5 linked regions of the Ovis aries genome follow. The protein of the gene in region 4 interacts with the protein of the main gene of each other region in a biochemical or structural test. Links are inferred from orthologs where the notes say so. Each region holds a gene or a part of one and is shown on either strand. Other genes may lie near its edges. The genes, in order: ANAPC2, UBA1, RNF7, UBE2S and ANAPC11.

Region 1 (6,128 bases), on a different chromosome or scaffold from region 4:
TGGAGCAGCCTCGTCTCCAGGGCAGCCTTGAGGGACACGAGCAGCTGCGGCCTCTGGTCTGTCCTCTCCAGGCAGTACTTGAGGTCTTCCACAGCGGGCCTCGAGTCCGGGAAGTCTGTGGGGAGAGGCTGATCCTGGCACGTGCACACGTGGTGTGCCCACAGACAGCTGGAGGGAGGCCTGGAGGGTGGGTGGCCACACCTCCACAGGCTGCAGGGAGAGACCCTGCCCGGGGTCTGCTGTGGCCCCTGTGCGCTCAGGGGCCCGCACCCTTGAGCACAGCCCCCTGGAGGGGCAGATGGGCAGAGCAGAGCCCAAGGGCTAGGGCAGAGCTGGGGGCAGATTCAGCACCTCTCCTGCCCAATGCGGATGCGGGGTGGGGCCCGGCTGTGCTCCAGACGCGGGGGTCCTGGGCTGCAGGCAGGGGCGAGGGCAGGGGCCCCCAGCGAGCAGGCTGACCTCGGATGATGCTGAAGAGCTCCTCGATGCGCAGACCGGCATAGATGCGGTAAAAGAACCTCTGCACGTGGCACCGCCAGCGCCGCAGCGTGGCGCCCGGCTCCGGGGACGCGGGCCTGCTGGGGCCGTCCTGCAGGAACACCTTGCCCAGCCAGCCAACCACTCTCTCGATCCACTGTCAGGAGAGCACAGCTGTGGGGCTCCAGGGCCCAAGCCCAGGGCAGAGGTGCAGCTACCTGCCGAGGGCTGGCCCTTGGGAACCCCAGGGACCTGTCCCAGACCAAGGGCACAGTGAAATCAGCAGATGGGGGCCTGAAGGGGCCTCCCAGGGCCTACCCCATGCACACCAGCACCAGGCTCATCTCTGACCACAGCAGCTCTCACAGGGCGCTGCGTCTGAGTGGACGGACACACCCTGGGGACCGCCCACCCAGCCACCGGCAAGACGGCCCGGACGGTCTGCTGCCTGGGGACAGCACAGCTATCCCCGGGCCTCCTGGCGTGCTACAGCCCACTTCGGGGACCCTTGCACTGAACACCACCCCCGCCCTCAGCATTGCAGCGCACAAGCGTCCTCAGGAGGCAGGCAGCAGGATGCAGCGGAGTGGGGAGGGTGGGAAGTGAGGCAGGCTCAGAGCCCCACGGTTGGGCCCGGCTCTCCCACAACGCTGTGCAGCCCAGGGCAGCCCCCAGGCCACGCCCCAACAGCACGGACGCCCCAAGGCCCCGCGCTGGGACAGCCCAGACCTTGGGGCTGCCTCTGGCCATGTGGCCCTGCACAGATCTCAGGAAGCATGTCAGGCTCTTCCTCGCTGGCGCCAGGGTGGGCCCAGGATGACCAGCCTCCACCCAGCACCAAGACAGCTTCAGTCACCAGCAGCGTCCTGATTCACCCAGGTCACCACACTCTGCCCACTTCTAAAGCCAAGGCACCTAGTCACTTTTGCCAGCAGCCTCTTCTCATCCGCGGGAGGGGCCTCACCTTGTGGAACTCACGCAGGAAGGAGCGTTCGTACTCGCCCCGACAACGGTCCTCCATCCGCTCCCGGGTCACCTGGTGCAGGGTGCTGGTCACAGCCTCCGCGCTGACCCGCTCCAGCAGACTGAGCTTGTGCCTGGAGGAGAGCCCCGCCCACGTCGCACGCAGCGCACGCACCCGCCGCGCACCCTCAGCACAGCCTCCTGCAGCCCTCCCGCTGGGGCAAAACCGCCCCGAGGAACTCAAGACAAAGCGGCTGAGATGGCAGCACCGGTAAGGCACCTCCCACTCTCCCCAAGGGGTCAGCACCTCTGGCTACTGGGGCCAAGGCCTCGTCCACCTCCTAACAATGGCCCTCAAACAATAGCTAGAGAAGTCACTACTCCGGCCACGTGAACACAGACGTAGCAGTCTCTGCTTCTCAGTGCTGATCCCGACCCATGATGGCAGAAAAGCCCAAGAGAACCAAGCTTCTGGGGAGCACGCCACACCGTCAGCCCAGTGAGAAGACTCTGACGGCTGCGCAGCTGCCACTCCATTCACACTGACAAAATCATCACAAGGGGCCACGGGACGTCCCGAGCGGTCCAGGGGTTAGTAATCCTCCCAAAGCAGAGGACACAGGTTCAATTCCTGGTCAGGGAACTAAGATCCCACGTGTCGCGGGGCAGCTAAGTGCACACGCCACAGTGAGAGAGAAGCCCGTGCAGGCCAGCGAAGGCCCCATGCGCCGCAGTCCAGACCCGACGCAGCGACAGCGAACAGGGACTTTACACAAGCAAGCACCCAGAGAGCCGGGGACCCGCACGACAGGGCCTGGGTCTGACAACAGAATCCTTCCCCCCTCACAAGGCTAGAAAGGCCATCAGTTTGCCCAGCATGCTGGTCTAATCTCTGACTTGCTCTACAGAGAAGAAACAGCAAGCGTATTTTTCTCAATTCCAAGACAAATGTCATTCCACTTCCGAGAGCCTACAACAGGCACAGCAGAATTCTGCACAGCCCGGGACACGTAGAATCAAGCAGTCTTAGCGTAAGCAGAGTACAAAGGTGAATTCACCTGAGCCAGGGTGAATAACAGACACACCTAGGCAAGGACAAGAGGCATAAACTCATAGAAAACACACATCCTGAGAACCCTTGGGAACCAGGGCGAGCGGCAGAGACCACCCCCAGCTAGCTCACCAGCTCTCTGCAGGGGCCGGCGGGACCCAGAGTGACAAGCAGGAGCCAGGAGGGACAGGGACACAGGACACGCAGGCCAAGTACTCACAGGACCTGGCTGAGCTGGTGGAACTGCTCCAACGCTTGGCGGCACCAGCACTGCTGTTTGTCACTGCCGCACCCCGCGCACAGCGGGCTCTGCAGAAGGCGGTAGTACCGGCGGCGGGCATACCTGCTGTCCAATTCCCCCTCCAGTTCCGGGTCTGTGCCTCCTTCCCCTTTTCTCTTACTCTGCATGTAAACTCTCAAGAAGCGCCCGTAGAGGCGCTGGATCATCTCCTGAAAAGCTCTGGGAGTGGAAAAGAACAGGACGCCCCGCAACGTGGTGTGGACCTTCTCCCGAAGCCCCTGAGCACCGGTGCCCAACAGCAAGCCCAGGCGAGTCCATTTCTCCAGGAGCTCTAGACTACGCAGGTAGGGATCCAGGCGGCTCTCCAGCAGACCGAAAGCATCGAGGAGCAACAGAAGGCACTGGGGCTCGTCCGCACAGTTCTCGCGCTGAGAGATGGCATTCCAGAACTCGAGGGAGATGTTGGCCTGCAGGTCGGTCTGCAGCACCTCTACGAACCACTCCTCCAGGACCGAGTGCAGACCGTGGCCCCTGAGCACCTCCACCGCCGCCCGGAGCTCCTCCTCTTTTGGAGGGACGGCACCGCTGGTTCGAGAGGACGCCTGCAGTACAGAAAACCATGAGAAGGGGACGCACCGCGGAGGCGGAGAGGGTGGAGACAGGTGAGAAAAAGTGGGAAAGGGACAGCGCGGATGGAAGGCCACGGGAACCCCGCCGCCCTTCCTCGCAGGGACGCAGGCCCACGCGAGGGAAGGGCTGCGGAACACGCAGGGAAGCCAGGACGGGCGCCGGCGGGCTCGGGGCCCCGGGCACCCCGCGCCGGCCCGTCGCCCTCATCTCGGGCCTCACCAGTCCCAGCGCGGCCGGAGGCACCAGCCCGGTGCTCACGGTGTTCCAGGCCGCCAGCAGCTCCTGCGCAGGCCCCGCGTCACGGCCCGCCTCCGTCGCCGCCGCCATCTGCGCCCACCAGCTCTCAGAGCCGCTCGGCGAGGCGCGCCGCGATGACGCCAAATTGGGCGCGCGCGCGCGACGATGACGCACACGGTGCGCGGCGAGAGGCGCAGGGGCGGTGACGCGACCGGGGGCGGGGCGAGCGGAGATCGTGCGCAGGCGCTGAGGGGGGCTGCAGCGGCGGTTGGGGCGGCGGGGCCCGGCGGCGACCATGACCCAGCAGGGCGCGGCGCTGCAGAATTACAACAACGAGCTGGTCAAGTGTGAGTGGCCGCGCGGCGAGGCCGGCGGGCAGGCTGGGAGGGCGGCGGGGTCGCCGGCCTGCGGGCCCGGGCCGGCGCTGGCCCGCCGCGCGCGGCTGTTCCGGCCGGAGCGGCCCGGACGCCGGGCGGAGCCGCGGAGTGGCCGCCCCGAGAGCCGGCGTCTATGGCGCGAGCAGGGTGCGGGGGCCTGGGCGCGCTCAGCCCCACAGACAGCACGGGGGCTCGCGCGGGGCCTCCTGAGACGGCAGACGCTCTGGGACGCCGGCCGCCGGCCTGGTCTGGACGCCCGGGCCTTCGCTGGCCGCTCGCCTCGCGCGCTGGGGCCGGCGCTCCCGTGCCCACCGCGGCCCCCGGCGCCCACCGCGCCCGCTCCCCGCTCGCCCCAGGCATCGAGGAGCTGTGCCAGAAGCGGGAGGAGCTGTGCCGGCAGATACAGCAGGAGGAGGAGGAAAAGCAGAGGCTGCAGAACGAGGTGAGGCAGCTGACGGAGAAGCTGGCCCGAGTCAACGAGAACCTGGCGCGCAAGATCGCCTCTCGGAACGAGTTCGATCGGACCATCGCGGAGACAGAAGCCGCCTACCTCAAGGTGGGGCTCGGGGTCCGGGTGCTGGCCCCGGGGCGCCTAGACAGGTCGTCGGCCCCCGTGGAGTGACAGCGAGGCCTGGGTCCTACTGTTGGCGTCTTGTCGCCGTGTCGCTGGCTCCAGACTGAGCAGCAGCGGGAGCGGGAGCCAACCGGGGCCTGGATTCCCGGGGTGTGAGCAGTGGGCTTTGGGCTATACTCAGAGGGGAGCCGGGCCCAGCGCAGGATGGGGCGCCGGGCTGTGGCAACTTTCCGACGGGGCGGGGGGTGGGGGGGGGGGGGGGGGGGGGAAGAGTGTTAACTGGCTGGCGTCTCTGTCCGCAGATCCTGGAGAGCTCGCAGACTCTGCTTAGTGTCCTGAAGCGAGAAGCGGGGAACCTGACGAAGGCTACAGCCTCAGAGCAGAAGAGCAGTGGAGGCAAAGAGAGTTGATGAGGCCGCGGGTGGGGGTCCTGCCTGCGGCTCAGCGCCCCCCGCAAGCCTGTCTTTAAAGCACCTTTGTTCTTCAGGGAAGCAGCTTTCTCGGTTTGTTGTCTTTGGTGCCGAGAGAGGCAACTGCCAAGCTTCAGTGGCTCTGGGTGACGGGATGGCCCTGGGTGTAGCCTGCCCAGTGAGGGGTCCTAGTCCTGCACTCACGCAGGCTCTGGGGAGCATAGCTCTGCAGGGCCCCCACACCACCTGGGCTGCAGGGAAGGCCTGCTTCTAAACTTCGCAGGGCGGGAGTCCCCAGACTTCCTCCCTCAGCCGGTAGGTGCCCAGGCAAGTGGAGGAGGAGCTGGGGCCCTTCTTCACCTCAGAGCTTGCCCTGGAGGCCTGTGACTGTCAATAAAGTTTGTCTTTGTAAAGACCCATGCCACCCTGCTACCTGTGTAGTGTGGGGCTGCCAGATGCAAACCGCACCCCCCTGCCCAAGTCAGAACACAAAACTCTGGCCCGGCTGTCACATGGTTCCTTGTGAAGGAGAGAAGAGGGCCTGCAGTGACTTTCCCTGTGTCCAGCCTTGTTGGGATAGAGGTAAGGGTGCCCCTGAACGCCTCCTGTGGCCTCTGCCACACCCGCTTCCTCTGAGCCTAGTGCACAGCCCACACTGCACTGAAGGTGCCGCTGCTCCTGGCCTCTAGCAGAAGGTCGGGTCTAGGGGACCTTCTTGGGCCTTAGAACGCCGGGAAGAGCTGCACTCCAGCCCAGTGACTCCGAACGCTGCGGGGCAGCACAGCACCCATGCTTCCCACTCTCTGGTCACGAGTGGTGTCTGTGCAGCCTGGGGCCCAGCCATCCCTCCTGAGTCCTCTGGGCCCATCTCCTTGGCCTGTCAGCCCCCCTGGGGTCCTCACAACTGCTGTCTCTTGAGGTTGGGCAGGTTGGGAAGCATGTGTCAGTTGAAAAGGTCTACAGAAGTCTGGGCCCACCCCTTCCAGGAAAACACCTTCCTCCTTCCCAAGCCTGGCCAGGTGGCATTTCTCCTGGGCCTGACATTCCAAGAGGAAAAGACAAGCCTTCAAGAGCTGGATTGTGAATGGCCTGGCTCCACACAGGCAGCCAGTCCAGCCGGGAGCCGCTCCTGTTCTTGTCACCTCTTGGCAGTTTTCTCTGCTAGTGG
Region 2 (5,531 bases), on a different chromosome or scaffold from region 4:
CAGAGCCCAGCTCTGGTTTATTCGTTTGATAAACATTTAATGGGCTAGTCTGTGTGTCAGGTTTCACGCTAAGGCTGCAGCGAGGGAATACGAGCAGGCTTTAGACCCTGGGCCTGCCTCTTTAGGAGGAATATGTGAGCCAGCAGACGGGAAGGCATAGTGGTTATTTGCACAGACTGGAGCCAAACTGCCTTGGCACGAGTCTCTCATTGTACTTGGATACGTCAGGCCGGTCATGGAGTCTCCTGTTCTGCCTTTGTCTGTCTGCAGACATGGGAATGGTAGTAATGCTGACTTGATAAAGGTTTTGTGAGGGCTATGGACTAGCAGCTGGTTGTTGGTTAAATAAACTCTGGGCCAGAAAGTGGAGTTGTGGGAGCTGAAATTCTGCCCCAGAGTGTCCCTGCGAGCCAGGACACTGCTGCTGAACCCTGCTGTAGCCATGGGAGCTTACCCTGATGGGAATGGTTAGGCTTTCAGCAGAGACCCATGGCTGAGCAGGTGTTTTAAGAATTGGGAGCAAGTGGGTGTGGTAGGAGTGAGCTCAGACTTTGGCTGAGGACAAAGTTTTACTTCTGTCTCTCCCAGGGCATGGCAGGGCTGTAAACAGGCAGCAGTGGGTGTTGGCAAATGAAGGAGTCAGCTGTTACCCAGACTGTCCTCCCAGTTGTCTCTTTACCTTGCCTGCCATAGTCTAGGGATTCACATTTCCTTTCATTGAGTTTTGCTTGGGCTGAATCTGATACGTGGTAGATACTTTCTATTTGTGATAGAGAGCTGAACCAGCAAAGCCTTAAAGACCCCGTGAGCCCTCCTACCAGCCTTCCTCCATGATCGCTCCCTTTACCCTTCACCCTGGTGCTGGGCCCTCGCCTGAGCTTCCATCTCTCCACAGGTGGTGGTCCTCACTAACAGCCCCCTGGAGGACCAGCTGCGGGTGGGTGAGTTCTGTCACAGCCGTGGCATCAAGCTGGTGGTGGCAGACACCCGGGGCCTGTTTGGGTGAGTGTCCCTGCTCTTTTCCACCCCAAGCTCTGACTGCCCTCAGCCCCCCTTAGGCCTTTGGGTTTTGGATGCTGTGTGTTTACCTTGCCCCACGTAGCGTGAGCACAGTCTGATTCCCAGCAGTGATGGGTTGAATTTGCTCAGCAAATACTCGCTGCATCTTGAGGGACACGTGCAGTCTCAGTGCGCGTGGGACTCGGGCATCAGCCCTGTTGCCTCCCTCTACAGGCAGCTCTTCTGTGATTTTGGAGAGGAAATGATCCTCACTGATTCCAATGGGGAGCAGCCGCTCAGTGCTATGGTTTCTATGGTCACCAAGGTGAGGAGGCCAGCCTTGGGTCCTGGCAGGCGGATGGGCGGTCACAGGCCTTCCTGTCTGCTCCCAGTACCCTGAACCTGCCTCTGAGGTACTCCTCCTTCAACCAGGACAACCCCGGTGTGGTTACCTGTCTGGATGAGGCCCGACATGGCTTTGAGACTGGCGACTTCGTCTCCTTTTCGGAAGTACAGGGCATGATTGAACTCAATGGAAGTCAGCCCATGGAAATCAAAGTCCTGGGTGAGCTAGGGCCAGGGGGGAACCAGGGGAGATAGGAGGCGTTTCCCTGGGCTCTGTGTGAGGGGAGACATATCCTGGGTATCTGGGATGAACCAGAGGTAGAGTCTCCTAAGGTCTGCCCAGCAGGGTGTGGGGGAGAAATGCTGTCTTGTGTTTGAGCTGTTCGTAGAATAGGCCCCTGATAGCTGCACTGAGGGGAGGCAAGGTCTCTGGTGTTTGAACAAAGATCAGAGGATCCACTTGTGTCTGAGCTAATTCAGACAGGGAGCAGAGAACGTCTTCCGTTGTAGACTTGGGGTCAGAGACGTGGGGTCCCGTGGGCGCTGGGTCTGGGGTAGAGGGGAGATGGTTTCTGAAATTCGAGTAGAACTCAGGATGGAGAGGAGATTACTCCTGATGTCTGAGCTGGGTCAGGAATGGATTTTCCCTCATCTTGTAGGTGGTTGTAGGTTTTAGGGAGAGTGGGTGTCCTGACTGTTTTGTCTACCCTAGGTCCTTACACCTTTAGCATCTGTGACACCTCCAGCTTCTCTGACTATATCCGCGGAGGCATCGTCAGCCAGGTCAAAGTACCCAAGAAGATCAGCTTTGTGAGTGTGAGGGGCAGTGGGCTGTAGGAGCTGGGGCTGGGCATCTCACGGTTCTCAATTCTCTTCTGATTCTTTTTTTTTTTTTCTGATGCCCTGCTTCCCACAGAAATCCTTGCCAGCCTCCCTAGCAGAGCCTGACTTTGTGATGACAGACTTTGCCAAGTATTCCCGCCCTGCCCAGCTACACATTGGCTTCCAGGCCCTGCACCATTTCTGTGCTCAGCATGGTCGGTCCCCTCGGCCCCACAATGAGGTGGGTGTGGGTGAGCCAAGCCAGGGTAGATGACCTTGGCACTGCAGGCCCATTCTGCCCCTCTCCCTACACCTCTCGCCCCTAACGCAGTGACCTAACAGGCATGCTCTTGGTTCCTTTGGCCCCACTAGGAGGATGCAGCAGAGTTGGTGACCATAGCCCAGGCTGTGAACACTCGATCCCTGCCTGCAGTGCAGCAGGGCAGCCTGGATGAGGACCTCATCCGGAAGCTAGCATATGTGGCTGCTGGGGACCTGGCTCCCATAAATGCCTTCATTGGGGGCCTTGCTGCCCAGGAGGTCATGAAGGTCAGCATAGGTGGAAAAGGCCAGGGTTGGCATAGGCCAGGCGCCTCCCTGCCTCTATCACTTGTCCCATCTGCATGAGGCCCCAGGTAAGCACTGACTACTTCCCCTCTCCTGCTTATTCTCCAGGCTTGCTCTGGGAAGTTTATGCCCATCATGCAGTGGCTGTACTTTGATGCCCTCGAGTGTCTCCCTGAGGACAAAGAGGCCCTCACGGAGGACAAGTGCCTCCCGGTATGTGAGTAGAGCCCTGGGGTAGGTGACATAGGGGGCATTTCTGGTGAGGCTGCTCTCTGACCTTTCTCCCTTTGCATTCCTCAGCGCCAGAACCGTTATGATGGGCAGGTGGCTGTATTTGGCTCCGACCTGCAGGAGAGGTTGGGCAAGCAGAAGTACTTCCTGGTGAGTGATCCGCTGGAACACGTGCTTCCTTCGTATCCCCTGCCCTCTGGCTACCTGTTACGGTGTCTCTTGCCACCTGAGGGAGTGTCTTTTGGTTCTTGTATCTGTATCACATGACTTTTGCCTTTTTTTCTTAATCTTGGGAAAGCTTAGTATGTCCTGTTTCCCCCATCTGTGCCTCCACCCTCAGATGACTAGGTTATTTTCATAGCCGTGGCACTTAAGGATGTGGCACTAGACACCCCTCTCTTGCTGTCTTCTGGGGAGTGAGAGTACAGAGTGATGAATGACTTCACGCTGACTGCATCACCCTGACCCAGACACTCTGTCTCTTCTTGGTTGTTTTCTAGGTGGGCGCAGGGGCCATTGGCTGTGAACTGCTCAAGAACTTTGCCATGATTGGGCTGGGCTGTGCAGAAGATGGAGAAATTGTTGTCACAGACATGGACACCATTGAGAAGTCAAATTTGAACAGACAGTTTCTGTTCCGGCCCTGGGATGTCACTGTGAGTGTGATGAGGGGTGGAGGCGGTACTTTGTCATCTTGTTTTCATCTTGTCTTTTGTTCCCATTCTTCCTAAAAAGGGGGCTTTACTGCTTTTTTCTTTCCTTCAGCTCTCCCTCAATTTCTGTCACTCGTTCAATGAATGCTGAGTACCCTTCCATTGAATCCACCGTTTTTCATGTCCTGTTTTCTTTTTCCTTGACCTCTTATGAATGCTGGTTGGGACAGTGTGTTGGGGGTCCCAAGTGTAGTGATTCACTAGGGGGACTCACAGGACTCAGCATATAGTCATACTCAGGGCTATGATTTATTCCAGTGAAAGAATGCATAACAAAATCAGCAAAGAGAAGTTGGGGTGAAGTCTGCGGGAGACCATGCACAAGTTTCCAAGACTCTCTCCCAGTGGAGTTGCACAGGACACCTGTAATTCCCCTAGTAGCAAGTTGCAACAACACATGTGAAATGTTGCCAGTCAGGGAAGCTTGTAAGAAACCTAGTACCCAAGGATTTTACTGTAGGCTGGTCATGTAGGCTCCCTCTTCTGGGAACATCCCCAAATTGCAGACTCCAAAAGGAGAGCAGGAGTTTGGCCTAAACCGTAGGGTTTTCATAAGCAGCCTAGGCACAGTGAGCAGCCTTTACCAGGTGGGGAATGGTAAGAACTCTTGAAATCCAGGTTTCCAGACTGCAGCCAAGGCCCAACCTGGCCAGGAGGCCTCTTTCCTAGGAGAGCACTTGTGCTAGGTTCACTGTTCTCTGCACAGATAGAAGCTAGGTTATACAGGGATCTAGCTAGTAGGCCTTCTGTGGGGAACAGCATCATTGCCTGTCCAGGATCGACTTCCCTTTTGTTCATTCATTTATTCACCAAGTAGTTATTCACGTAGGTGCTCTTGTAGGTACTTGGAGTACACCAAGGAAACAAAGATTTGGTGGAGTGGAGACAGAGTAAAGAATAAACACAGTACAGTAATAAAATTTATACTCAGCGTTCTTGGTAAGTGCTGTGCAGAGGAAAGAGCAACAGCACGATGAGGGAAGTGGGCAGGCCAGGGAGATCAGTTTGCAATTTTGATATGTGGAAGGGCTCATCTCTGCCAACTTGGAGGGCGTGAGGAAGTAGAGTTCCTCAACCACTCAGGCAAAGATCCTGAGGTGGGAGGGGAGTAGGAGATAAGCTGGAGGAAATGGGGACCAAGTCATCTTACCTTCGGTGGAGGTGGGAGCAAGGGAGGGTTTTCAGCAGAGGAAGGATATGGCCTGATTCGAACTTCTTGTCTGTATGCTAAGATTGTTTTGTTTGAGGGGAATGTTCCCTAGCCTAGGTGCCATTACCTGAAAGAACAGTGGATGTTGGGTAGGCAGAAGGACAGAAGGCTGGCCTGTCTACTGCTTCCCTTTCCACTGAACCCCTGGCATATCAGTCCCTGCCCTAGCCCTGTGGTATTGTCATGAACTGTCTCCTGCCAAACCAGAGAGCTTCCTGAACTCAGGGCCTAGTTCTTCGCAGCATTAAATATGTCAGCCTTCAGGAGGACAGCTCTGTAGAGGTTCTCTGGTTGCACACATGAATAACTTGAGTTTTGTTCCCCCATTCCCACTCTCACTCCCCCTAGAAATTAAAGTCTGACACAGCTGCTGCAGCTGTGCGCCAGATGAATCCTCATATCCGAGTGACAAGCCACCAGAACCGTGTAGGTCCTGACACTGAGCGCATCTATGATGATGATTTCTTCCAAAACCTGGATGGTGTAACCAATGCCCTGGATAATGTGGATGCCCGTGAGTTTGGAGGCGGGTGAGGAGGTCAGGGGCCAAGTTACATGTATGCGTGCACACGTGTGTATGTGTGTGTGTGTGTGTGTGTATGTTTTGGAGGTGTCTGTCTTCCTGCCTCCTAATGTTCCATCTT
Region 3 (6,244 bases), on a different chromosome or scaffold from region 4:
TGAGAACCAACACATTTTATATTAATAATGAATCGCTGCTTTACAGTTTATTTTTGTGTATTGATAAAGTCAATCTTAACTGCAAATTCAAACATCCCCACTGAGAGAAAACCTTCAGTTGAAAAAGCAGAACAAAATTACAACATACCAACACAATCCTCTTGTTTGTTTTCAGCTTGACATCTAAGACAGGCATCTAAAAGTAAACAAATAGCAATTCTCATTCTGATGCTCAGAATGCAATTTTTAAAACCCCATACACTTCAAAGTCAAATAAAAGGCCCAAAGGGTTAGAGATGTAGATTAGAAGGCTCATACTATTAATTTCTCATCTGAACATAACTGCTTAAAGATGAATAAAGTACAAGGCACTCTACTAATTTACTTATGACCAGGAGCAATTTCACAAGAGTTACTGACCCTCTATTTTCACAAGTGCTGATTAAAACATGTCCTGACAGTGGATGTAACTACTAGAGAAAAATATGCTATATTTCACTATATTACTCCCTGGGCACATGCACACAGATCAATTTTATGAACAGTTTATTTTCAAGACATCCTTTAAAATAAGCCACAAATATATATTGGTATTTGCTTACATATATTTAGAAACTCTAGAAGGATAGTCAAGAAACTAATAATAAAGTTCACCTGGGAGGAGATGGAATGGGAAGGGGTTTTCACTGCACACTTTCTCAAGTTTTTAAGTTGTGACTGTATAACCTACATAAAAATTAAATTTAAAAAACCCTAAATATTAGGTTCTCTCTCTTATTTTTTCTTTTTAAGGAAATGCTCCCTTTACAAATAATCTGAGCCCAAAGCATTTACCCAACAACGGTAAAGTATTTTAATAAATTACCTGGGAGTAAACATGAGGAATGGGAACCAAAAGGATATACTAGAACTTTTCAAAATTCAGTCTGTACTACCATTTGCTTGAAGAACGTAATATAGAATATTTTAGGAACCAAAGAAATGGACTCATTCACTAGCTGAAAGCAGTCAAAGTTGGGTGAAAGGAAGTTCAAACTAACAGAAAAAAAAAAAAGATTTTAATATAAATTAGAGAAAAATTCTATAAAAATAGAAACAGGATAGAGTTGAAGCCTACTTCTTTTCTTACACTGGATTATGCTCAGGCATTTGTTTGCTCCTCTCTGCATGCTCTTACCCTTAAAAAAAACACACTACCCTGGCCTCTTCAGTGTGGATTAAAAACCACCACTGCCTCCTGAGGCTTTCTTCAATTTCACAGTTACTGAGTACCTACCCTGTGCAAAGAGTAATGCCTGGGGGCCACCAAAATGACCAAGTCTGGGTCCCTGGTCTCACCAGTAAATGGGAAAGTGGATAGGTAAACAGTTAAATATCGCAAGGATCATGATATAAGGGGGAAGACATGCCTCTGGTTCTGTGCAGTCACAGAAAGTTCAGGATCCCAACTGTCTCTTTTACAAGTTAGGAAAACAAGGCTCCAGAAGGTTATGTCAAACGTCCAAGTTAACAGATAGCTGTGGAAGGTTACTCTGGCTCTTTATCCCTTGACAATACAAGCAAACCTCGTCCCCTCTTCCTCACCGGTGCTTGCTAGCAGCTCCTTTCCCAATAAAGTCGGCAGAGTGGAAACCAAGGAAGAGTGTCTTAACCACATTAGAATGGGCTGACTGGCAATTCTTAGATCAAGAAGTTATAACAAATCATTTAGGTGTATGAGATGAATTCAAATATCAAGGACACAGGATTAAGTGGGCTTTTTATAGAATCTAGAAGTCTCTGAATCATGCCTACGGCTTTTATTTAGATTCACTATCAACAACTGATCTGAACAGATAAAAATTCCTAAAGTTTCATATAAAAGAAAACATTTTCCTTTGATGATGTTCTTAATATCTAAAACAGCGCATTTCTAAGGAGTACAGTAACACCTTTTAGAATGATGCCAGAAAACACACTTCCTTCTGCTGTCACCTGACCACCAAATAGATTTTAACACCTCATAAACACAATACAGAGGTCTAGCCCAGAATACTTTTCTGAACCCAAAGTACAGCTGTTGTAAATATGAAACATTAATCCACAGTAGCAAATACTTGTTATAATTAGAAAGTTAATGTGAGAAGTGAGTCATTTATAGCCCATACTTTGACTTACCTTAAATATCCCAGTAAAGTTTATTTCTTGCAAACTTTCAACCATTATTTTATATTTTGCATTTCTACCTACTAATTTAAAATTTTTCTTTGGGGAGAAAAATAAGATGCTCTTTTAGGAAAATTATTTTAAACTAAAAAAGAAAAAAAATCCCACAAACTGGAAGTTATGATTCTAGCTTTCAAGAAAGGGTTAGGGCAAGGGGGCTGTATTGCAGGCCCATAAACTAAGTACCTAAAAACCCGATACACAAAATAAGTCGATCACATCTGAAATCTAGTTCTTTTAAAAAGTAAAAAAATATTTGAATCCCATAGTTGCAAATTCTCTTTAAAACAAATTCCTACGAATAAAAAACATAAGTGCATACTACAGAGAGAGTAAATTGAGAAATCTCTTGTTTCTGGTAGGTCTAAATTTTCAATGCTCAAGAAGGGAAAGCATCTTTTAAGTTACTTTCTCCAACTGTCTCATTTTTCAGTGCAAGACACAAAGTTTTCAAACTACAGAAGCCTCAGTTTTCTCCAATTACCTTCAAGAAATGACATTTAAGACACTCTTAAATGCTGTAGTTTTAAATGCCCTATTTAAAAATATAACGTGCATTTAAACAGCAACTCTTTTTTAAGGTCGTCTAAGATCTTAAAACAGAGACCATATAAAACACAACGAGATGAAGCTGCTCTGAAAGGCTTCACGTGGTCCAATATTTTCATTAAAAATATCATAGAAAGAAGTAACAAGTTTGCAAAAGAGGGCTTTCCAGAAAGGCCAGACTTGAGGGCACTACCCTTCTCCAAGAAATTGCATGCTAGGATGGGGAGTGGCCAGTAAAGAGATGAAGCTTCATGTCTCTGAATAAAAGGGTTTACATTCTTCTAGTTCAAGCCAACCGAGTGCGATCTGACCAATCTTGAATCATCCAGGTTTAAAAGCCAGCAGAACAGTAGCCAATCTAGAAAGGGGACGGCTAGGAACACTCTTCTTCCCTGCGCCTCTCCAGAGCACGACTAGCGGCCGTTTGGGGGGAAAATGACTCCAGAGCATCACTTTGGTGTGTGACCAGAACCATCCGACTGACCCGCTGACTCAGGGCCTTGACCTTGACCTCTGTGTGGTTTGCTTTCGGAAAAGGGTGCGGTCGCTGGCCACACAAACCGAAGTGGTTCCTCCCAGCTCCCGTCAAATCACCTACTTTTATTGTCGTGATCACACCGATCACTACTGGAAATGACCTTGTTTAACTGTCCTGCCTGCTACCCCCCTATTCCCCCAGAATACCCGTCCCCGGCACAAGTCGCCTGCTGAACGACCAGCTCGGGCGTGGCCCGCGGTCTCCTGGGGCCGGGGCAGGGCGATCCCGCCCCTACTCCTCCCGGAACGGTCTCTCCAAGGCTTGGTCCTTCCCCCCACGCCCGAAGCCGGGCCTGCGGAGGCCGCAGCACAGCCGGGGCCTCGCCTGCTGCGCTTACCCATCACCTGGACCCTGCAGATGGCGCACGTATCGCACTCCACGTCCCAGCTCCACATGGCCACCGCGTTCCACTTCTTGAGAGAGAACATTTTGTCACCGCCCGACTTGGATCCTGCGCTCCCCGAGTGAGAGGACAGGGCACAGGGTTCCTCACCGTCTTCCACGTCGGCCATAGCGGCGGCGCGGAGCCGGCGACGGAGACGTTGGGTCGTGGGAGGCGGGCGGCTATGGCGGCTCAGTGGGGCCGTCCGACGGGCCACAGCGCCGCCCGCAGGCCACGGGCCGCCGCGGGGGTCTAGGACCGTGGGGCGCCCGTGATTGGCTGGCGCGGCCCAGTGACGTCACCGTACGCCGGCACCAGCGGCTTCCCGGTGTCCTAGTTCCCGGTACTCGCGTCCCCAACGCCCGGCCAGCTCAGCGGGGTGAGGGACCCCGGACCGACCCTGCGCGGGGGAGACACGTGTCCTGCTTTATGTCTTCATGACACCGCTTTTAGACGTTGTCTTGTTGATATATTCGTCCTTCTCAAATGTAAACGCCCTGGGGGGAGCGGGGACTATTTCTTTTTTCTTTTTGGGTGGGGGGACTATTTCTTGATCATCTCCTTCGTTAAGAAATGCTGTCTCGGGAGGGACAGTTATATGTTGAGTGAATGAATGACGAGCTAGGAATCTGGTTCAACAGTTCTCAAATATTTTGGTCTTGGGACCCCTTTACACTTAAAAATTACTTAAGGACATTTAAGAACTTTTGTTTGTATAGGATGGATGTGTACATATACACGCTTATACATATGTATTTCCTTTTTAAGAAAACGGGGGAAATGTGAATATATTAATTCACTTCAAAACAGTAAGAAATCCATTACAAGTTATCCTTAGAATACCAATATTGTACACTCACAAGAGAGAATGAAGAGAAATAGCTATGAGTGCTGTGCTGTGCTTCGTCGCTCAGTCGTGTCCGACTGTGCAGATCCCATGGACTGTATGTAGCCCGCCAGGCTTCTCTGTCCATAGGATTTTCCAGGCAAGAATACTGGAGTGGGTAGCCATTCCCTTCCCCAGGGGATCTTCCCAACCCAGGAATTCAACCGGGGTCTCCTGCATTACAGGCGGATTGTTTACCAGCTGAGCTACCTGGGAAGCTCAGAGCTATGAATACTGTTATGTAAATATGTAAATAGTTTTGACCTTGTTGGTCCCCTGAAAGACTTCCAGGAACCCTGGAGACCACACTCTAAGAAACTTAAATCTAGTTTAACTTTTTATGTGTAGGAATACTGAAGTCCCCAAAAGTAATTTATAGTAATTCTGCTATATTTATAAAAGTAATTTATAGTAATTCAGAAAAGTAATTCTGCTATTCTGAGAAGGTGACAGTGGAAACTAAGGTTCTTCTGTTACTAGCCCAGGGTCATGTTATGTTTTCCCAAGCAAAGCAGATAACATCTTCTTTTAAAAGATACCGAAGCTGAGGCATGGAGACCGGAAGATGCTTGGTCACACTACCACCTAGTGGTGGCCACCTGCTGTGTCAGGATTAGGACTCAGAGCTTCGCACCTCTTTTTATTTTAATGATGAGGGTCTCATCATTCCCTCATCTCCTGGTGTCAGGCCTGGTGCCCCTGGGTCTAGGCTAACCAAACTTCAGAACTCTGGCAGAGGAGTCAAGGAGGCATTAAATGTGTAACGATACAAATATGGACACAGGGTCACATTTGGCCACATGTGCTGTTTGTTGGGTGGTGCATTAAGTGCTGTCAGAGACAGAAACCTTCCTCAAGACAGATGGAGTGAGGGAGTGAGGGAAAGCCTCATAGAAGAGGTTAAGTTTGAACTCGGCGGGAGATGGGAGGCCTTGGAGGCCAGGAAGTAAATGGAGAAAGCAAATGGACAGAGCAGTAGTGGTGGTAGCAGATATAAATCTCACCACAGTAACTTCATGAGCCAGACAAAAATGTCTGTAAACAAACCCAGATGAACCATCCAGAACATGTTTCATTCACATTAAGCTATCACATATCTGACTATCAGTTCAGTTCAGTCGCTCAGTCGTGTCCGGCTCTTTGAGACCCCATGAATCACAGCACGCCAGGCCTCCCTGTCCATCACCAACTCCTGGAGTTCACTCAGATTCACATCCATTGAGTCAGTGATTCCATCCAGCCATCTCATCCTCTGTCGTCCCCTTCTCCTCCTGCCCCCAATCCCTCCCAGCATCAAAGTCTTTTCCAATGAGTCAACTCTTTGCATGAGGTGGCCAAAGTACTGGAGTTTCAGCTTTAGCATCAGTCCTTCCAAAGAACACCCAGGGCTGATCTCCTTTAGGATGGACTGGTTGGATCTCCTTGCAGTCCAAGGGACTCTCAAGAGTCTTCTCCAACACCACAGTTCAAAAGCATCAATTCTTCAGCGCTCAGCCTTCTTCACAGTCCAACTCTTGCCGGGGTCCAGCCCCGGTGGATCCAGGGTAATTCGAAGGTGGGGATGGAATCGGCGTCCTGGAAAAAACTTAATTACAGATATAGAGGGAGATTAGAAACAGTGTAGTAGGAGAATTAGTGGAGAAAAGAGGCTGAATAACTGGTTTACATGAACTACCAATCACCA
Region 4 (6,282 bases):
TCACTCCCTTCTAACCTACCATGTATTTTATTTATTACCTTTTGCTTCTGTGTCTATTTTCCCTTACCACAGGAAACCCCAAAAAAGGCAAAGATCATGAGAAGTTCTTAGCAGAGATGGGGCCTATTGGAATTTCAGGTGTCGGTAAAGGGCAGCCTCCCTGAGGACCGGCCCCAGCTACTACCTGTTTCTGTCAACAAAGGCTGACTGGGACACAGCAGCGCCCTTCATCTGCACATCCACTTGACTGCTCTGCCTAGGGCAGCAGAACGGAGTCGGTTGGGACAGAGATGGGTGGCCTGCAGAATCAAAAACCTTGACTGAGAAGGTTCGCTGAGCCCAATTTTGAGGCTGCGGGAGAGTCCTTCCTTCTCCCTCAGGACCTGTCCACGTCAGGGATCCCTAGCACGTCTCCCACCCGCCCTGCCATCAACGTGCTCACCGGCCTGTCTGCTCCCACCCATGCCCCATCAAAGCCTCCAACGGCTCTCCAGGACCTGAACGCTTCAACACACCACCCACTCAGCCTCACCGGCTTCCCGGTGGCGCCCCAAACAAACCACACGTGATCCCCTCGCCTCGCCTTTGTATGGGCTGTTCCTTTTTCTGAAGAGCTTTTGCCATATGGTGCTCAGGCAATTCTTCCTCCGACAAGTCAGTGAGAAGCCCTAGCCCTCTCTCCCTGCACCCCGGGCCCTGACTGATCCGATGTCTTTATCACTCGCCGACGTAATAGGATATACTTACTTGTTTACTGTCTGGCTTCCCCACGAGGTTGTCAGCACCCTGAGCACAGGGATTTTGTCCCTTTTACTCTCAGCTGTATCCCCAAAGCATCTTACCTGCCACAGGGCTGTTGCTGTTTAGTCACTAAGTCTTGCCCAACTCTCTGCAACCTCATGGACCGTAGACCGCCAGGCTCCTCTGCCCATGGGATTCTCCAGATAAGAATACTGGAGTGAATAGCCATGTCCTTCTCCAGGTGATCTTCCTAACCCAGGAATCGAAGGGGAGTCTCTTCCATTGACTTTACCACTGAGTCACCAAGGAAGGTGCTCAAAAACCCAAAGCATACTGAATAACTGCCAGTGTCCAGAGAGGAACCTCATAACATCCACCTGACCGGGTTGTTTCGAGGTTTCAATGAGATCAGACATGCAAATAAATTACAACAGTGCCTTGGCCAGCAAGCATGAATCAGTAACCATCACTCTAATGAGCACCATCAGTCCTTGTCAGTCGGGTGGACTCCGGAGCTACAGCTCAGTCTGACCCCCAACTCCACCTCGTCTCGAGTGGGGGCCCCTGGGCAAGTCACTAGAACCCCTCTTCCATCAGAGTCCTTGCGTGTTAACTAGGCCGGACTTAAGGTGAGGAGTGGGGGGTGCCCGAGTGCAGTCAACCCGCCACACACTGGTTTTGGCTAGGGCGGTGGCCGTCTCTGCATGTTTCTGCCCCAGTTCTAGAAGCTAGGGTCCCACTTGGGGTCTTGTCGGGACCCTCTCTAGAGGGTCTGAGAGACCTTGGCGGGGGCGCTGGGCCACACAGTAGCTGTGGCGGTGGTTCAACTCCCGGGGGTCCTGCTGTAAGGGCGCCGACACGTGGCCGCCGGGCCGGGTCCCCAGACAGGGAAAAGGAGTCCTGACGAGGCCTGGTTGGCGGAAGAACGGGGTCAGTCACAGGTAAGGCCCGGCCCTCAGCAAGGCCTGAAGGCTCTTCCTTTATTAGACACCGTCCTCACAGGAGGCTGAGGCCCGGCCGGGGCCAGAGGTCACACATTGGAGGTCAAGGCTTCTAAGCCTTCAGCGCCGGGCTGACTGGCCTTGGGACCTCCGCTATGCAGCACGCAGGTCACACGTCATTCCCACCACAAAATGGCGCCTCGAAGAGAAACGTACCGCGACGGCCAGCGCCCACCCCCACGACGGGCTGAGGAAGGGGCTCGAATGTCCGCGAACTTATTTGCATACACAAAACCAACGAACTTCATTGGCTGTGAGAGTCTGGGTCCGCGCTAGGCAGAGCCCCCATTGGTCATTCTCCTTTTCTCTGCCCCTCTGGTACCGCCTTCTACGTCAAGGATTGGCCCGCTCGTGTCTCGTGACGCCACTCCACGACTGCGCGTCCCTATTGGTCGGAATGCCTTCTATCATCCTTTTAAACCCCGCGAGTCCCACCTCTTTTCGCCCCGCCCAGGCTCCACGGCCGACCGTTAGTCGCGTGCGCGATTTCTGGGCGTCAGGGCGCGCGCGTACGCAGGCGTCTCATTCAAACGGCCCAATCAGCGTTCGCGTCGCCCTTTACGTCCTCTTCCTTTCTGCTTCCCCCTTCTCCACCTCTCCATTCTCCCGGATCCCCTCCCGGACCCATACGCGCCCCGAGTGGCCAGCCCGCCGCGCGCCCCCTCTCCAACTTCTGCCAGCAGTTTGCAGGAAGGGAGCGAGCCCGTCGAACGCCGAAGACCGTGCGCGCTGACGTCACGGGTCGAGGCGCCGCGAGAGGGGCCCGTGAGGGGGGCGTGGCCTGTGGGCGGATATAAAAGGGTGGCCGTGCGCGCGCGGCCGGCTTCCTGCGGCCGGTCACTCGGGCGGGTGAAGCTGCTTTGCGGTTCGCGGCGGACGTCGGAGGCTGAGAGGAGCAGAGCGGGGCCGCTGGGGCCTCGTTAGGGCCGCAGCGACAGCAGTTGGGCCCCCCGCCCCGGCAGGCGGCCGGAGAGCGCGGGAAGGGGGCCGGGGGGACCCGCCCCCGGCCGGCTGCAGTCATGGTGAGTGCGGCGCCCAGGCCCGGGAAGGGTAGGCGAGGTACCCCCCCGTAGAGGAAGAGGCGTGGTCTCAGGACCCTCTCGCGGGCGGTTTGAGGGGTTGGAGAGCCCACCTGGAGGTCCGAGGCCTGAGTTGGGCCCAGGGGCCTTCATGTAGGCGGGGCGGAGGGGAAGGCCCGGCCGAGTCCCGGGGAGGGCTCCGGCCTTTGGGGCAGGCCTGTGGGTGCTCCGGGAACAACACCACTCTGCGGCCGTCTCCAGGACCGATCTGGGGTTTCCAGGATGGTCTTAACAAGATTAGATGGGGGAAAGGGACCCAGGTAGGCATCGGGCTTACCCAGAATCATTGGGGAGCCTGTGCGGAGCTACGAACGGGCTTCGGGGGCTTCTGGGGAAGGTGGAGTCGTCCGCAGGAGCTCGGAGATGCTTCCCATTTCTAGTGGATTAGCCTGGGGCTGTCGCTTGAGTCTTCCTGGGTTGGGAGTTTCGGGAGCTCGGGGTGATTGATTGACCAGCCCGGGACTCCACCGACTCCTAGATCCTGCAAGAGGCTCCAGGCCCTGGCTCTGCCCGTGGCTCACCTGTTTGTCTCCATACCTAGAACTCCAACGTGGAGAACCTGCCCCCCCACATCATCCGCCTGGTGTACAAGGAGGTGACGACGCTGACCGCTGACCCACCTGATGGCATCAAGGTCTTTCCCAACGAGGAGGACCTTACCGACCTGCAGGTCACCATTGAGGGCCCTGGTGAGTGTCGGATCGACAGGGAGGAGTGCGCTTCCTAGGTCCTAGTCACCCTAGAGCCAGGATAGGAAGCTCCCACTCTTAAGTGGATTGCCAGACCCTGGGGACGCAAGGGTGGGCAGGACAAGCACACACACCTGTTACGTGTGTTCCTGGTGTGCAGGGCTGGACACTAGGAGTGACAAATAATTGTGTACTCTCCATTAAATGTTGGTGAGAAAAACTGGGGACAAAGAGAGCATGTAATGGGTCCTTAGCTTGGCTCTGCGTGTTTCCTCCATCCTGAAGTTGGGTAGGAGTTCTGTGGGATTGGGAGAAGGATGCCAGGTGGGGAGAAGTGTCAGCAAAGGCCTGGAGGGCGGGGTGGACCATCTCAGATTCCTTCCTGTCGGCAGTGTCGGGGGCTCTGGGAACCAGGCAGAGAATAAGCCAGACGCAGGCTTGGGGGAGATAATAACCACGCCACTAGGGTGTTTGATCTTGTAGGTTGGTGTAACGTGTCACTTCACGTGCACTACGTTTAGATTATTGAATTTTTACGACTTAAATGAAGAGCATGTAACGAAAAGACCTAGTTTGGAATCAGGTTTGTGGGCAGTGGGTCCGGGAAGGCTTTCTGAGATGGTGAGAAGGTGATTCACCCCCATGCTGATGCGGGCTCGGTGGGAGGTGAGGATCCCAAAAAGCTTTTGGCAGTCTTGGGGTGTATTAGATATTTTATAAGAACAGAAGAAAAACGATTGGTGAAGCTTACAGGAAGCAGATCTTTTAGGGTCTGTAGGTCTCTTCAGGAGTTTAGAAAGGAAGCCCTTGGTGGGTTTAAAGCAGGACTTCACTGTGACTTCGGTGGGGGTTTGGGTGGGGTTGCAGGCTGGAGGCTGGCATCCATCAGGTGAGTGAAGTGGTTCTGCTGGACTTGGAGGGGGCCTCACATTTATGGGGGGAACTGGATGGGTTGGACATGGGGGCTGGAGCACCAAGAACAGCCCTGGAAACGGCTCCCACGGGTTTTTGACCTGATCAGGAGAGTGATCGAGAGGGCTGTGGCTGCAGCAGGGAGACCTTGGAGTGGACAGAACTGTCCTGAGTCTTGCCTGAGAGACTTGCAAACATGTTTTTCCGGGGGACAGAGGGGCCATATATGTCTGTGCCACTTGGGAATGGTGTGCTGTGGCTTCAGCAGGGACTGAGGAGCCTCCGTGGGTGGGGACCACCAGTCTGGTTAGCTCTGAGCTGGGGTTGGGGGGGAGTGCCTGCAGGCACCTGGGAACCTAGCCCTGTCCTCTCCAGTCTGGGGAAGTAAACGAGGGGGCATTTGCCTCACCGACAGACTGGGGAGGCTGGGTGTTGGGGGTGCCTGGAAGACCTGAGCCTCCTGATGCATCCCCTCCTTGCATTCCAGAGGGGACCCCTTACGCCGGAGGCCTCTTCCGCATGAAACTCCTGCTGGGGAAGGACTTCCCTGCCTCCCCGCCCAAGGGCTACTTCCTGACAAAGATCTTCCACCCGAATGTGGGCGCCAATGGCGAGATATGTGTCAACGTGCTCAAGAGGGACTGGACCGCTGAGCTGGGCATCCGGCACGTGCTTCTGGTGAGTTCTGCTGCACCCGGCCTGCCTCCTGGCCGGCCCAGTCACGTCCAAGCCACAGAGCCTTGTTCCTCTTTAAAACAATCAACGCTGAAGTGGTGGGGGCCTCCACATGAGAGTCCAGGTTTCCAGCTTTTCTAGAAGGGTAGGCAGCGCCCAGGGAACTCTGCCACGGGGCGGGTGAGGGGCTTGTGTGGGGATAGTTTTCTGCAGGCGCAGGCCGAGTGTCTGGTTGGAGAGCCTTTCCGACACCGAACGGCGAGTGCAGCCGTCAGCGCTGTGATTCCGCTGTTTCTCACCCAGGGGTGGCTCTGTGCCCCCGGGACGTCTTTAATTGTCGCTGCTGGGGTGCTCCACCCTCAGTGGGAGGACGCTAAAGAGCTGCTGCCCCTTGGAGAGCCATGCCCACCTGCCCCCCAGGTGGGGCCCCAGGGTCCCTGTGGGCCCCTTAGAGCATGGAGGTCACCTGGTGCCTCTCCCCACCTGCCTCACAAGGTAAAAGTTTTTTAAAAATCTGACTTTCTAATGAGCCCCTAGGGCAAACAGTAGGGAGGACGGAGAGTTGGGGTTTGCAGCAGGGCATGGGGAGGGTCGAGCACCAGAGTAAACTGACCCCAGACCTGTTCCTCCTCTCCCTGGAGCATTGGTAGCGGCTGCCAGAGAGATTGCGGGTGAGCTCACCGAGCACCCGTGTGCCCACTGGGTGGTGAGTGTGGCCTGCCGGGCCGGTACCTGGGCTCCCCTGTCCCGCCGGGGCACTGATGGCGGGGCAGTGTGGGGTTTGAGAGGTTTGGGGGCGGGCCCCTGACCCTGGCCCTCTCCCCACAGACCATCAAGTGCCTGCTGATCCACCCCAACCCCGAGTCGGCCCTCAATGAGGAGGCGGGCCGCCTGCTGCTGGAAAACTACGAGGAGTATGCAGCCCGCGCGCGCCTGCTCACCGAGATCCACGGCGGCGCCTGCGGGCCCAGCGGCGGGAGGCCCGAGCCCGGCCGGGCAACGGCCAGCGGGGCAGCGGCCTCCACTGCTGACCCCACAGCTCCAGGGGGCCCAGCAGGGGCTGAGGGGCCCATGGCCAAGAAGCACGCGGGTGAGCGTGACAAGAAGCTGGCAGCCAAGAAAAAGACGGACAAGAAGCGGGCACTGCGGCGCCTGTAGTGGGCTCTCTCCCCTCCCTTCCCACCT
Region 5 (6,112 bases), on a different chromosome or scaffold from region 4:
TCACCAAAAGCGGTTTCCAGTGGATGCCAGAAACCACCTTAAAAAAAGTGTTGAGACACTGTGAGTGCTCACTGGCCTTGCTCTGTCCTCCCAAGGCAAAGTAAATGGCTGGGCTCTGGGAAATTGAACCCAGGAAGGCCCAGTACCCTGCCCAGCCATCTCCTGGACTGACCCCCAAGATGTCATTACTTAACCATTTTAGGCAGCAAATTTAAAGGCCTTTAGGGTTCAACCGAAAAAAAAAAAGAAAGAAAGAAAAGGAAAAAAAGAAAAAGGGGAGGAAAGAGAGGCAAAAAAAAAGAGGCTTCAACCAAAGATGTTTGAGAATCATGTCACTAACAAAACCCAGGGGGTGAGGGTAAGTGAGAAGACAGGGGATGAAATTCCAAGTAAGACATGGGGCTTAAGGCAAATGGAGCCAGAGCGGCGCTGGCACCATCCTGCTCTGTGCTATGTCAGTTCTACAAAGGAAGTGCTTTCTCCTCCCAACAAACCATTAAAACAAGCAAAACGTAAAGAAAACAAGTAGCCTAGCTCTTCCAGGAACAGAATCGGAGCACAGTCAACCAAGCTTCTGCCAGAAGAGCTTGGGCAGAGTGCCTTCATCTACAAAACACGTTTTAGCAAGGAAGAACAGCAGCGCCCCAGACTAAGCTGGGGCCTTGTCTTCCAGCACAAACTGACACATTGGTCAGGCTTTCAACTCTAGCTCAACCTCTGCTCTGCATTCCTGGAGCCCATCACAGGGAACAGTGGCTGGCCTTTCGGTGCCTGGGAGAGCTTGTCGTCCCAAGGTGTGCGTGTGGGGGATTCTGGGCCAAGTCCCAAACGCCACAACCGATTCCGTGCGGAGTGACCCGCCCACCAAGAAACTCCAGTCCCTTACCTGAATATCAGCGTCGGACACTCCAAAATCCAGATTTGACACCAGCAGTTTCCCACCGGTCTCCACGCCGGCACCACCCCCAAAACCGCTATCGAAAAGGTCATGCTGCCATTTGTCAGGAAGTTGTTTCGGCTGAGGGAAAAGAAAACACAAGAACAGAAAAAGGTCTGTGAGTCTCACTCCAGGGCTCGCCCTCGCCCTCACGGCCACAGCAAGAGCCTCCCCCCATCTCGGCGGGGAGGCAGGCGCTGAGAGAGACCCGCAGCCTCCGCTTCACGCCCGCGTCAGGCCGTACCCGGCCGCCGCGGCCACACGTCCCGCAACTTCTCGGTTCCCTTCAACCAACTTCCCGCCACCGGGGCGGCCGCGCCAACGGCCCCTCAGCCCCCAGCGCCGTGAGGCCGGGCGCCCTGTTAAGACAAAGGCCGCCAGGGTCTCCGCCTTGGTGCCCGGCAGGCGAGCGACCTTCCCGCCCGCCGAACCGGCCGGCGCCCGCGCCCCCCGGCCCAGTCGGTCAGTCGGTCGGCCGCCCGGACGGCCCGCCGGTCGCCCGTGCGCCGCCCTGCCGGTTCGCTCCCTCGCCGCGGCCCGCCACCCGGTCTCCACACTCACCCTGCTGTAGGGCGCCGGCCGGTTCCTGCCGCCGCCGCCCGCCGCGCCGCGGGCGATGGCCGGCCGATTCCGAATGGGTCCGCCGCCTCGGTTCACTCGCGCGGCGGCCTGGGCTCCGCCGCCGCGGCCACCCTGGGAGCCGGCCCGGCCGCGGCCCCTGCCCCCGCCGCGGCCGCCTCGCTGGCTCCGGTTCAGCTTAATGATGTCGTCCAGAGACATATCCATTTTGTCGGCCATGGCGGGCGCGGAATCGGCCTCGGCTCGAGCCCGCGCGTCAGCACGTCGGCGCGTCACTTCCAGCGCCGCTCGCGGGTTTTCCGGTGCCGCGTCCTCAGAGCGACCGCGGATTGGCTGCGGGCCTTCGGCGTCTCAGGGGGCGAGGTCGCGCGTGCGCGCTGAACCAAGGAGCTCGGCGGGCGCCTCTGAGAAGTGCCGAGCCGCGGCCACAGGCGTTTATATACCTTCCCGCGCGGGGCCGGCACTGCCAACTGAAGGCGGGTGGTGCGGCGCGCGATTAGATCGGCGGGGGCGCGGCCGTTGGGGGCGTGGCCGAGCGTGGCGCCTCTCCCTCGCCCCTCCCCCACCGCACCGGGAACCCGCACCCTAGTCCAGCGGCGGGAGTGAGTGCGGCCCGCGCCAGGGTTGTTTCCGGGGTGACCTCGTAGGGAGCGGGCTTGGGTCTCCATCTCTCAGCCCCGTCAGCCCTTTCGGAAGTAGCGCACGGCGCGTTTCTGCGGTTGTTAAAGAAAGCCGACGAGCCCTTCTGCGGACGCCGAGGCAGAAGTGCGGTGTTGGCGAAGGACCAACACCGGTCCTCCCGGTCTTCCCGAGGACCCGGCCCCCGCCCCAGTCCCCTTGCAGACAGCCTCTTACTGCCTTTCGGCGGCCACTGTTGCCTACGCTCGACCCTCGGGGCGACGCCCCTTCTTTGGCTTCCAGGTGCCGTAGCTCTGCAGACTCAGCACAGCCGGGTGGTCTCTTCCCTCCTCGCAGGCTCCTCGCGCCATGAAGGTGAAGATCAAATGCTGGAACGGCGTGGCCACTTGGCTCTGGGTAGCCAACGACGAGAACTGCGGCATCTGCCGGATGGCCTTCAATGGCTGCTGCCCGGACTGTGAGTGTCCCCTGCCCGCTGTCTCTCGAGCTGTGCCTATCATCTGGCCTTGGCGTGTCCCCAGAAGTACTCGCAGAGCGTTTCTGGGGTTTGGTTTCCTCTTCCCAAGAAAAGTTGACAGAGAAAAGCCAGGCTATTTGGGCCCATATTTGTACAAAGATCCCGTCAAAAGTTTTGTAAGGAAAAGAGCACAGTTTCCTATCCTGATAAAAGTCACTATGAGACCCGTGGAACACAAAAATGTGTTAAGACATTGTATTTGAAAATTTCAAGTCAACAAAAAATTGTGACGTTACAAGGTTTCCCCCTCAATCCAGCACATAAATGATGAATAACACGTTTTCATATCTGGCTGTTTTTGCCCAGCTGTTTTAAGGTAAATGCTAAATATCTGCTGCATTGTCAGGCGGGTTCCTTATCACTGAGCCACCAGGGAAGCCGCAGCAAATGCTAAATGTGATGTCCTATATCAGTGCTGACTTTTACCAGCACTGTTGTCACTTTAGACAATATACTGCCTTACTGTTGCCGGTCATTCCTAGTCCTTGTTCAGGTTTCTTTAGTTGTCCTCAAATGTCTTTTTATTGTTGGGTGGTGTGAGCCAAGACCCAAGGTGTGATCACTTTTTCCCTTCACTACTTAATCTAGAATAGTTTTGCTTCAACTTCTCTATCGCGTTTTAGACATCAAATTATTTGTTTTTATTTTTCTTTATTTATTTTTGGCTGCTTAGGGACCTTCATTGCATTGAGCAGGCTTCTCTCCAGTTGTGTTGCATGGGCTCAGTTGTCTTGTATCATGTGGGATTTTAGTTCCTAGACCAGGGATCAAACCCACATCCCCTGCATTGGAGGGCAGATTCTTAACCACTGGACCACCAGGGAATTCCCCGTAGACATCTGATTTCTTTCAGAACATGTTGTCTTGCAAAATGCCTGACCTCAGGTTTTATCAGATTTCATCTTTGCGGTGTCTTTTGCATTGTTCCTTTGTCCCCAGTGTGTTCTGTGAAGCGAAAGTATTTGGGTCAAAAGGAGATTTTTGCACCAGTGAATTTAGTTTTTAGTCAGACACAAGTGAACCAGAAGCAGTAGGAAGGGTCTTAAGGCTTTGCCTAGGGGACGAAGGTGTTCCCGAGAGAGAAGTGAGATTTGGGGACCACTGAGAAGTCAATGACCAGGCCTGTCCTGTGGGGCTGTGAACATCAAAATAGTACTAGATCTTTGCTTCTTACAGTGAAATTCAAATAATTGATTTTAGTGCAAATATAATTTTATCCTAGTCTTAAATCTTTACATCTGGAAGAGGAAATCTCATCACCCATGGGCTAATCCATCCTGATTTAATCAGGCTGCGATATAATCTTAGGAAATCAGTGATTGGTTCTACTTGATGAGGTTTTTTTGTTGTTGTTTTTTATTTTTTTTTTTATTTATTTTTTTATTTTTTTATTTTTTAAATTTTAAAATCTTTAATTCTTACATGCATTCCCAAACATGAACCCCCCTCCCATACTTGATGAGGTTTTATGTAAAGGGAGAGAGAATAGAAGCACAAGGTCTGGCTTGGTTTAATCCGTTTAAAACCGCCCTTTTTTTTTTTGGTTCAGTTGGGTCTTGTTACTACATGCAGGCTTTTTCTAGTTGAGGCAGCACTACCCTGGTTGCCGTGGCTTCTCTTGTTGCGGAGCACAGGCTCGAGGCGCACAGGCTTCAGTAGTTGCATTGCTCGGGTTTAGTTGCTCCACAGCGTTTGAAATCTTCCAGGCCCAGGGGTTGAACCCGTATCTCCTGCATTGGCAGGTGGATTCCTATCCACTGTACCACCAGGGAAATCCTAAAACCACCCTTTCTCAAAGGTACAACACAGGTTATGGGTAGGTACTTTCAACTTTCTCAGCAGCAGATGTGGCTTCTGAAAAGAAAAGTCCTAGGGTAGCATTTATGTGGTCATGCCCTTGACCCAGTGTGGGTGAGTGAGCCAAGTGTCAAAGATGGCACCAGGGGTTGCATGCAGCTTGTGGAACCCAGTGTGTGGGGCTGCCTGAGGTGTGCTGGGTGCTGGGAAGAGGGGGTTGAGGCTGAACTTTGGACTTGCTGGTTGTGAGCCAGCGGTAATGATCAAAGTGTTTGGTCAGCCCAGGGCCCCTTCTATACAGATCAAGTGATGTTGGACTTCCCTGCTGAGATGGAATTCCTACGAAAAATCCAGAGTGACTCAGACTGTGATAAACCTGCTCCTTGTCTCAGGGCTTTGTGAGTGAAAGTCTTATGGAGAGGATCCCGACGCTTAGCATGAGTCACTGTCAGCATGGAAGGTGGTGTCAGATTCCCCACTAATGGACGTGATGGCTAGGGTACCCCTGCCAGCAGGCTAGTTGGCCCCTGCGCATCCTCTTGCATCCTCTGTTTGCAAGGGCTCTAATGTGTTAGGCGTGATTCCAAGTGTCGTTCTGCTGAGGTGGGAAAGACCCTGGGTGGGGGTGGGGTGGGGGTGGGAACCAAGAGAAATCAGGTGTCACACCCTGTGGGCTCCTGGCACAGGGCCGTCCACCTCACCCCCCCACCCTGGCCTGGGAAGCAGAGTGAGCTAGATAGTTTTGTATTTGCCAAGTAAATTGTTTTTTGGTTTTGTCATAAAAGATTCAGAAAAGGAGTGATGTTTTGTTTTAGAGAGGATTACTTTTAAAAGATTGGGGGTTTGGTGGGGAGAAAAGATCCATGTATATGTATAACTGAGTCCCTTCACTGTTCACCTGAAATTATCACAGTGTTGTTAATCGGCTATACCCCAATACAAAATAAAAAGTTAAAAAAAAAAAAGATTGAGAAACACTGCCCCAAACAAGAGAGTAAGAAGATGGCAGTGCCCATCTGTCTGACTCCATAGGGTGAATGTACCACTGTGGGGCAAGGGCTGCTCCCAAACTGGGAAGGAGGTGCAGGTTTTCAGCAGCCTTTGAAGGATATTTAAGACCTGGCACCCACACCAGCTTCCTGGTTGGCATGCTCCCTTCAGGCAGTGGCGGCTGCCCTCGTGAGTCACGTGGCCTCCTGTCTGTCCCTGGGATGTCGGTGGGTGATAGAGACTGTGGAGCACTGTGAGGTTTGGACAAACGCTCAGGTCAGTTTTCCAGCTCCCTGTGCAGCTCAGAGCAGGTGCTCCATTAGGTCTTGAGAGCACTGTGGCTTCACCGTGGTGTTATCTTTTAACACATTGTACAGTCACCTGTCCCTGTGTCTGGTGTCAAGAGAGAAGACCAGGACCACAGGTGACCAGGCCAGCACTTAGGAACTACTTCGTGGACAAGATGTCTCCTGTTTACCCCAGCTTATCTGGCTGGTGCACTGTGTGCCCTAGTGACTTCTGGATTTGGCTCACGATTGATAGGCATGAGGGGCCCCATGGCAATGCTTTAGGGGAATGGCCCCCCTAGAGGGTGGCGGCAGCAAGCTGCAGCTCCCACTGCTCATGGGGACCTACCTGCTGGGGGAGGACAT

What was found.
Region 1: the proteins of UBE2S (region 4) and ANAPC2 form a complex in vitro, tested with the Homo sapiens proteins (3 studies listed by BioGRID and IntAct). The link is inferred for Ovis aries from reciprocal best matches to the Homo sapiens genes UBE2S and ANAPC2.
Region 2: of the proteins of UBE2S (region 4) and UBA1, one has a biochemical effect on the other in vitro, tested with the Homo sapiens proteins (8 studies listed by BioGRID, with this or other methods). The link is inferred for Ovis aries from reciprocal best matches to the Homo sapiens genes UBE2S and UBA1.
Region 3: the proteins of UBE2S (region 4) and RNF7 form a complex in vitro, tested with the Homo sapiens proteins (3 studies listed by BioGRID). The link is inferred for Ovis aries from reciprocal best matches to the Homo sapiens genes UBE2S and RNF7.
Region 5: the proteins of UBE2S (region 4) and ANAPC11 form a complex in vitro, tested with the Homo sapiens proteins (31 studies listed by BioGRID). The link is inferred for Ovis aries from reciprocal best matches to the Homo sapiens genes UBE2S and ANAPC11.

The regions. Positions count from the first base shown.
Region 1 is NC_056056.1:746,634-752,761, reverse strand, and holds the start of ANAPC2 (anaphase-promoting complex subunit 2), read right to left. Parts: upstream 3,718-6,128; 5' UTR 3,690-3,717; coding exon 3,582-3,689; intron 3,335-3,581; coding exon 2,712-3,334; intron 1,575-2,711; coding exon 1,442-1,574; intron 635-1,441; coding exon 460-634; intron 116-459; coding exon 1-115. Other genes in the region: microtubule nucleation factor SSNA1, read left to right, coding at 3,895-3,946, 4,333-4,532, 4,853-4,960. UniProt on the Homo sapiens protein: Together with the RING-H2 protein ANAPC11, constitutes the catalytic component of the anaphase promoting complex/cyclosome (APC/C), a cell cycle-regulated E3 ubiquitin ligase that controls progression through mitosis and the G1 phase of the cell cycle.
Region 2 is NC_056080.1:57,612,358-57,617,888, reverse strand, and holds part of UBA1 (ubiquitin-like modifier-activating enzyme 1), read left to right. Parts: intron 1-895; coding exon 896-1,002; intron 1,003-1,233; coding exon 1,234-1,324; intron 1,325-1,431; coding exon 1,432-1,564; intron 1,565-2,056; coding exon 2,057-2,154; intron 2,155-2,260; coding exon 2,261-2,407; intron 2,408-2,538; coding exon 2,539-2,715; intron 2,716-2,841; coding exon 2,842-2,946; intron 2,947-3,033; coding exon 3,034-3,114; intron 3,115-3,464; coding exon 3,465-3,620; intron 3,621-5,235; coding exon 5,236-5,401; intron 5,402-5,531. UniProt on the Homo sapiens protein: Catalyzes the first step in ubiquitin conjugation to mark cellular proteins for degradation through the ubiquitin-proteasome system.
Region 3 is NC_056054.1:247,816,450-247,822,693, forward strand, and holds the start of RNF7 (RING-box protein 2), read right to left. Parts: upstream 3,834-6,244; 5' UTR 3,805-3,833; coding exon 3,630-3,804; intron 197-3,629; coding exon 149-196; intron 1-148. UniProt on the Homo sapiens protein: Catalytic component of multiple cullin-5-RING E3 ubiquitin-protein ligase complexes (ECS complexes), which mediate the ubiquitination and subsequent proteasomal degradation of target proteins.
Region 4 is NC_056067.1:62,871,793-62,878,074, forward strand, and holds the start of UBE2S (ubiquitin-conjugating enzyme E2 S), read left to right. Parts: upstream 1-2,563; 5' UTR 2,564-2,761; coding exon 2,762-2,764; intron 2,765-3,362; coding exon 3,363-3,510; intron 3,511-4,909; coding exon 4,910-5,100; intron 5,101-5,925; coding exon 5,926-6,255; 3' UTR 6,256-6,282. UniProt on the Homo sapiens protein: Accepts ubiquitin from the E1 complex and catalyzes its covalent attachment to other proteins. Catalyzes 'Lys-11'-linked polyubiquitination.
Region 5 is NC_056064.1:50,495,035-50,501,146, reverse strand, and holds the start of ANAPC11 (anaphase-promoting complex subunit 11), read left to right. Parts: upstream 1-1,886; 5' UTR 1,887-1,999; exon of another isoform or gene 2,000-2,437; 5' UTR 2,438-2,503; coding exon 2,504-2,612; exon of another isoform or gene 2,613-4,009; intron 4,010-4,135; exon of another isoform or gene 4,136-6,112. Other genes in the region: ALYREF (THO complex subunit 4), read right to left, coding at 887-1,018, 1,499-1,735. UniProt on the Homo sapiens protein: Together with the cullin protein ANAPC2, constitutes the catalytic component of the anaphase promoting complex/cyclosome (APC/C), a cell cycle-regulated E3 ubiquitin ligase that controls progression through mitosis and the G1 phase of the cell cycle.